2 linked regions of the Coturnix japonica genome follow. The protein of the gene in region 1 interacts with the protein of each later gene in a biochemical or structural test. Links are inferred from orthologs where the notes say so. Each region holds a gene or a part of one and is shown in the gene's direction. Other genes may lie near its edges.

Evidence for each region.
Region 2: of the proteins of CGAS (region 1) and RNF185, one has a biochemical effect on the other in vitro, tested with the Homo sapiens proteins (2 studies listed by BioGRID). The link is inferred for Coturnix japonica from reciprocal best matches to the Homo sapiens genes CGAS and RNF185.

What each region holds. Positions count from the first base shown.
Region 1 is NC_029518.1:74,372,659-74,376,558, forward strand, and holds the start of CGAS (cyclic GMP-AMP synthase), read left to right. Parts: upstream 1-989; coding exon 990-1,613; intron 1,614-2,321; coding exon 2,322-2,544; intron 2,545-3,156; coding exon 3,157-3,405; intron 3,406-3,900. Other genes in the region: protein MTO1 homolog, mitochondrial, read right to left, coding at 532-731, 813-1,008. UniProt on the Homo sapiens protein: Nucleotidyltransferase that catalyzes the formation of cyclic GMP-AMP (2',3'-cGAMP) from ATP and GTP and plays a key role in innate immunity.
Region 2 is NC_029530.1:8,057,219-8,061,130, reverse strand, and holds the start of RNF185 (E3 ubiquitin-protein ligase RNF185), read left to right. Parts: upstream 1-1,398; 5' UTR 1,399-2,173; intron 2,174-2,505; exon of another isoform or gene 2,506-2,799; intron 2,800-3,912. UniProt on the Homo sapiens protein: E3 ubiquitin-protein ligase that regulates selective mitochondrial autophagy by mediating 'Lys-63'-linked polyubiquitination of BNIP1.

The sequences.
Region 1 (3,900 bases):
AAATGTATGAGGGCTGCTCTGAAAGTAATGCCTCTCAGCTTGTTATGTGGGCTCATTATGTCAGAGGTGGATGTTGGTGGTACAGCAGAAAAGGCTGAACTGTCCTGTCTTTATTCTATTCCATGATGTTGCTGTGTGACAGATGGCAGCAGAGGGGCAGCCTGACAACATGGTGCCTGACATGGAAGTGTGTATGAAGCAAGGTGTGTCAGTGAACTCCTCCATGCAGGTAACATGGCACCCACTGACATACATCAACATGTGCTTGCATTTATGGAGAGCAGAGTGGATGTGAGCAGGTGGTGTGTTTCACACAGTGGGTCACCTCTATGAGTGCAGCAGGCAGGTTCTTATTCACTGCTAGCAAAAATACAATGATATTGGTGGTTACTACGCTGAAAAATAGAGTTTTGTAGCTGATAATCTGCTCTATCAACCAGTGTTACAGCGCTCTCGGTCTCTATTGCAGTTTGCAGGGCAATAAATGGGAGGCATTACTTTCGGAGCGCGCAGCACAGGCCGCACACCCACCTGCACTCGGTCCCGGTACCGCCGCCGGTCGATCTGCGCACGCAGCCCCCACACGGCCGGGCCTTTGCTGCGGTTGAGCACTTTGTAATGCACCCCGGACACGTCGCACATCCGCCCGCACAGCCCGTCCAGGGCGTCCACCTCCCGCATCAGGTGCCCCTTCCCGATGCCTCCGAATGACGGGTTGCACGACATCTCTCCTGCACCAAGCACACGGGGACACCCTCAGCACCGCCGCAACGTGCGGCCCCGCCGCCCCCGGCCTCATCCCCCGGCGGTACCGATGGTGCCGATCTTGTGCGTGAGCAGCAGCGTGCGGGCCCCGCCGCGAGCGGCCGCCGCCGCCGCCTCCGTGCCGGCATGGCCGCCGCCGATCACCAGCACTTCGTAGCGCGGGGCCGCGCTCCCCGCCCGCCGTCTGTGTGCCCGCTGAGCCGCGGGCGGCGCCAGGCGGCGCCATGCGCTGCAAAACAACATGGCGGCTGCGGGCGGCCGGAACGGGAAGCGGGGCGGGGGGCGGGAGGCGGCTCGGCTGGCGTTGGGGCTCCCCCTGGCGGCGGCTCGTCCCGGCTGCTGGCGGGAGTTTTGGTTCCCCGAGAGCGGCGGCGCCGCCTGGAAGAGGAACTCGCCCTGAGATTCTTCCCGCCGAGTCGCGCTCGCTTCCGCGTGGGTGCGTGAGGCTCATGGAGGAGACGGCGGCGGGCAGAGGGCAGCCGAGGCAGAGGGCGGCCCGGCCTCGCGGCTCACGGGGTAGAGGCACCGCGGCACGACGCGGATCGACCGCGAGGGGTGATGCGACCGACGGGCATCCCACGGACGGGGCTCCACGCGCGGTCGTGCCCAGGGCACGAGCTGAGTCCACCCCGGTGCCTCGAACCCTGTCGGCGCGGAGCAGAGCGACGGGCGGGCTGCGGCTGAGGGAGGTGCTGTCGCAGCTCAGCCTGGGCCGGCAGGACGTGTCGGAGGCGTCGGGGCTGGTGAACCACGTCGTGTCCCACCTGATCCAGGCCGTCCGAGGGAGGGACGGCAGCTTCAGCTCCATCAGCAGGCTGGGAGCCGGCAGCTACTACGAGCACGTCAAGGTGCGAGCGGGGCTGGGGTAGCGTGGGGCAGGGGCGGGCGGACTGCGGCCGAATAGCCTCAAGAAGGGGAGCTATAGACTCAAGAAGGGGAGCTATAGCTTTTCCTATAGGAAAGAACGGGACAGGCCCTTTAGCGGGGGCTGCAGTGATTGCACGAGGAAAAAAGGGTTTAATTAAACCTTGATCGTAAAAAGAGGGTAGGATTTGGGTTGAATATAAGGAAAAAGGTGTGTCACAGGGAGGGCGGTGAGGCAGTGGCACAGGTTGTTCAGGGATGTGGTGAATGCCCCGTCCCTGGAGACTTTCAAGGCCAGGCCCCGGGCAACCTGCTCCAGCTGTAGGTGTCGCTGTTCGGTGCAGGGCAGTTGGACTAGATGGCCTTTCAGGGTCCCTTCCAGCTGCAAGGATTCTGTGCTTCCATGACTGCTCGCTGGACCATGGACTGGCTGTGATGCTGTACCAGGAGGTGGTGGTCAGTGGCTGCTTGACCTGCAGCAGCTCGGACCTGTGACCACCGGGGGAGCGGTGTCACTAAACTGCTCTTCTTCACATGAACGCACATCAGTCTGGTAATACAAATTCATCAGAAATAAGGTAATGTTTCACTCCAGATGTGGAAAATACATCCAGGTGGTTGTAGATAAAGCTTCAGCTTTAGGTGAAAGGCAATACAACCTAAGGTGATGCTTGTGTTCTTGTCCTTTGCAGATATCTGAACCAAATGAGTTTGATATCATGCTTGTAATGCCTGTCACAAGGCTGCAGCTAGATGAGTGTGACGGCACTGGAGCCTATTATTATCTATCGTTCAAAAGAAGTCCAAAAGAGAAGTATATGAATAAGTTTCTAGATGAAGATGGAAAATTATCAGCCGACAAAATGCTGCAAGAACTAAGGCGAATTATTAAAGAGGAAGTAAAACACATTAAAAGTAAGTACTGCACAATCAGGTTTCACTCAGGCACACTAATAATGCATCTGCAATCCCATATATGCAATATGTATCTTTCCCCTCACTCAATTATCCCTCGGGGCATCATAACTGAAAGTGAAACCCTCTCTTCCCCTGTGATCTCAAGCACTTATTCTAAAAATCACCATAAATGCACCAGAGCAGCAAAAGGAATTACATTACTTGAGTCAGATAATGCATTACTGAATGTTACTTCATAGCTACCCATAAAACGTATTGCATTTTAAAGTGCTCTTTTTCCTCATAAGCCTTTGGCCAAGTTGTGGACAAATCTCTAAACGTTTTCCACAGTCATCTGATGTTCCCTTGTCGTTCCTGTTCATTAGACAGCATTATGGTGCCTACAGAAGACATCTCAAATAGTCACAATATTAAAAATAAACAGAGAAATCATGCGAATGCTTCAGGTCGAGAAGAGCTTCTCTTTTGTAGAGGGAAGCCTCATCTGGCCTCCTTAATTTCACCAACCCTACAGGATGAAATGCTTGAGGATTCTGACCAATTACTAATTCCTATTCAGTAAACATCTTAATAACCTCCAAAAAAAAAGATTACTTTCTTTTTTGTTAGTAGATGTGGAAGTAACCGTGAAAAGGAAAAAGCCCGGAAGCCCTGCAATAACTCTCCAGATCAAAAAGCCTCCAGCAGAAATATCAGTGGACATCATCCTGGCTTTGGAAGTTCAGCAGAGCTGGCCTCCCAGCACACAGGACGGCCTCAACATAGAATGCTGGCTAGGAAGAAAAGTCAGGAGAGAGTTCAGACATAAACCCATTTACTTAGTGGCCAAGCAAAACAAAAAAGAAAAGCTCCTAAGAGGTACTTCGAATACAGATAATAAGCTTAATAATTAATTACTTTCTCTGCAACTTGATCACTTGATACAACTTGATAAATGCCATAAAAAGGGTATCCAGGTTCTGCTCAGTGTTCTGCCTTCAAGGTATGGATCTCTACATTATCTTGGGTACGTCCAGATAATGATTGAAAGCCCCCTTTAAAGCACCAGCCTGGTAACAGAGCTTATCCCGTGCTGAAATCTAAGGCTGATAATTGCACTACAGACAGTACAGTAACCAGCACTGTCTCAAATCTATCAGACAGATGCATATGTAATGTTTCCTGTACTAGTGCTGTACTTAACAGCAACATCCGCTCCTTTGTAAAGAAAAAAATTAAAGGAGGTGTGTAAAAATACACAGAAATCCCTGAAAACGGCGCTTGTTCTACGCATGTTTTATACTTATGCAGGAAGTAAACTATTCAAGGTAGATTATTTCCTCATTGTACTTTGGTATGGCTGCAGGACGACTG
Region 2 (3,912 bases), on another chromosome or scaffold:
GTAGCTCATTTCCATCCTCATTGTGGCCATTCACCTCACGTCTGTTTAAAATGAAATAATGATCATCTCCTTCAAGAGCAATAACATCCAACACTCACAGTCAAACAGCAGATAAGGGGCTGTAAAATCTCCCACCCTGTAGTAACTAATCCACATTTGAGATGATAAGAGACAACTGCTAAGTAAAGCAAAGAACTCAACAGTTCAGTTCCTAACAATGAGTTAAACATTATTCAGCCATCTTCCTGGCAGCAATGGGATGATTTTCTCATTGAAACAGTCTGCAGAAGCAAAGAGATGATGGCAGGACATCCCCGCTCTGGTAGGAGCTTCTTGAATGCACTGCCACAATTCATGCAAATCTGTCCCAGAAGAAACATGTCGCTGAGCTGCACAGCTGGCAGCTTCTGAGACCAAGCCTGCAGAAATGCTGCAAGCTTACGTAGCTCAGCATCCCCCTTGGTACAAAGCACCTAATTCAGACATTGCTTTCCCACCCAATAAAGGATCAGGTTTTCAGTCACACTGGAATTATTTGCCCTTCTGCATACAACCCTCTATTTTTCAAGTAATCAGTTTTGTTGTATGTAACTATTAACGTTTTTCATGGCAGGGGCACGGGAGAATTAGGGCACAATGAGGCATTTCTGCTAACTTGAACTCGTGAAACTGCCAGCAGACATTTGTTTTCAATTACTTTTGCTTTACTGCTAGAGGGATGACAAATACACTTCCGAAATAACTGTATTCATTTATTAGAACTAAGCATCACTTCAGATCGCAATCACACCGATTCCAACGGCACAATAAGGCCTTGAGCAGCACAGCTCATGTGTTCCCTCAGCAGAACACGATCGATACCTGAGGCTGTGCCGAGCTGCCTGCGGCGGATCCTTCGGAACGGCACCTGCAAGGGAAGGGGCACGTCAGGAAGACGCGGCCATGCAGCGGCCATGCAGCAGCCGTGCAGCGCACAGAGCGGTCGCCGTCACCCCGCTCCCGCTCACCGCCCGCCCGCAGTTTCCCGCAGTCCCACGCCGCCTCCCGGTACCGCTCCGCCGCCCCGTCGCTGCTCTCCGAGTCCGAGCTGCTGTCCACACCACGGCCGGCCCTGGGCGCCGACATGTTGAAGCCACGCGCGTCGCGGGGCACGCCGGGCGCTGTAGTTCTCCCGCCGTGCCGCGGGGCATGCCGGGCGATGTAGTCCCGTACCACCGAGCCCCACGAGATGGCCGCGGCGGAACCGGAGCGATCGGAACGGGAGGAGAACGGCGGGAAGGGCGGGGAATGAACGGGAGGAGCGAGGAGACGGCACGGGGAACCGCCTCCACCCGCTGGTCCGAGGGCTGCGCTGGTGCAATACACCGAGTGCCCGGCAGTTGTGGCAGTGCTGCCGGGTCACCGTGTCCATACCGGCGGTACCGATGGATGAGCAGCTCAGCCCCGCACGGTTTTACACTGACACTAACTCCCAGCTGGCACGTCCGAACGTGCCGTGAGATCCGCGTGCTCCCAGCCCGTCTATGGCAGCGGACACGGCTCACACAGCGCCCTGCTCTAACAGAGGCTCCTCTCGCACTCATCACTGCGCTCCTCTCAGGGCGCTGGGCTCCAGGCTGGGGTTGTCCCGCTCCAAGTCTGTCCCAGCTCTGACAGCCCCGGGCCCGTCCTCTCCTCGTAGCTGTACACACAAATCCCTCCTCGAGGCTGTTCGCTCTGTCCCCGGAGCTGTTCCTGCTCACAGCACCGCACTCCGTTGCCTTTGTGTAACGTTCCCCGCTGTCACTTTCTCCCCCGCTCTCCCGGACACTCGCTGTCGCGGATGACGCGCAGTCCGCGCTCGTTCCAGTGGGAGGCATCGGGCCGCAGCCCCCGCAGCGCCTCGCGACGGACGGGCTGCGCTGAAAGCAGAGCGGGACGGCAGACGCGGCGCCCAGGCAGCGCTGCCCCGGCTCATCCGGCTGATCCGGCCGCTGTCCCGCGGTGCGGCAGGCAGCGCTCACTCACTCACAGCGCGGTGGCACAGACCGCTCGGTGCGGGCGGAACGCGGCCCCGCAGCGCGGAGCGGAGCGGCGGGGAGAGGCCGGTCCCTTCCGCCGGGCCGCGCTTCCGGGGCGATCAGGTGACGGCGGCCGCGAGCAGGGAGCGGCTCCGCGGATCCCGAGAGCGACGGTGAGCGCGGCCGGGGGGAACGGATCGGGTCCGGGTCCGGGTCCGGGTCCGGCTGAGGGGGTGGGGGACGGGGGGAGCCGAATCCGTGATTCGGTGGTGCCGGAACGAAAGGATCGGGCCGGGCCGTCACCGGGGCGACCCGGAAGGCCGAAGCCGTTTGCGGCCGTTCTGACCGAGCGGGACGGGGGAAGCCTCGGCAGCTTCGGGCCCCGGGCCGGTGTCGGCAGCGCGGGGTGGGCCCGGCCCGGGTTGCGCTCCGCCGGGCCCGCGGTGCCGCCCTCCCGCCTGACCTCCGGCCCCGCCGCCCTGCCGGGCCTGCAGCCGCCTGCCGGCACTCGGCGGCGGAGCTGGAGGCGCCCCGACCCTCCCGCACCGTCCGGAGCGCTCCGGGCAGCGCTGGGTGCGGGCAGGGCCGCCGAGCAGCCGCTGTGCGCCGGCTCCTGTTCGCTGCTGCTCCGCACTCGCCGAACCGCGGCCCTATGCCTGTTTCTCCCGTCGCGTTGCCAACAGCTTACAGAACTGTAATGTTTTACATAACAGCAGGCCAGGAGAACGCTCAGCTCCTGTTACCCAATTGGTTCTATCGCTGTGCTTTCTTTTTTTAATTTTCCCCTTTAGACTTAGAGGTAAGAAAATCATTGTTTCAACATTACTACATTTTCTCAGAATCTATATCACATTTCTATGGAACAAATGATAAAAGACAATTCCGTAGCCGCATTTCTGCTGGTTGTCAGACCATGGCACATTGGGCACATTGGGCACATTGGGCACATTGGTGAGGTGCACTGGTGAGGTGTGTTGGCTCTTTCCAGCTGCCCACAGAGCTGTTCATGAGGGCTGCACCCAGCAGTGCCTGTAACGCAGCCCTGTGTTGCGGAATCCCAATTAACAAAATGAGGCCAAGCGAGGGCACGCTGCTCTGCTGGTAAATGGATGCTTTGAGCAGAGAGATGAGCACACAGCTTTGGATCCTGGGGCTTTATGGTGAGACTAAAAAGCAGCTGCGTGGTGCTGCCTGGGTTATGGTAAGTGAAAAGATGGACTTAGAGGAAATGTTCCAAAAGGGTTAAAATATGTAAGTGGGACAGAGTAAAAATGTAACAAGATATAAAGTGCCTTTAATGATTAACAGTCACGTATCTGCTCACATCTACCTTAAAACAACTGTCGAGAAGTACACGTACCTTTTTCTGGACGCTGCCAACAATTATCAGCTCTGATCATCTGCGGCTTTTACTTGAAGTCCAGACAGCTGGAATAGGTTAAGAACAGACTTCTGTTAAACCTGCGTGTGACAAGTATTTATATAAACTGTCAGTATTTTTCATAGGGTTTCTGATGCTGATTTTCCTTTTCTACAACAGAGGTATCCAAAAAAATGACGTTATCATTTCGGTCATAGGAAAAACTGACACGTTTTCCTTTCCATTGAAACAGCAGGAAGCTGAGAAACTAAATCGGCTTGTTTCAGAAATGAATGAGGGCTGGATTGTTTCAGAAGTCCCAGAGAAAATAGGATTAATTAGCAAAGAAGGATGGAAAAGTGTCCTTCTGGTGGAATTCCAGTCTAACAATGCACTGTTTCATTGTTATGTGTTAGATGCTGGGAAAAGAAACAAGTTTCAAGTTTTATCAGTAAACCAACCAGTCACTGGATTTTTTTTCCCCTCACTGCTCAAGAAATAAGATTAAAAATGAAATACTTAAAGCACTTTAATATTGTTGTGCTCTCAATA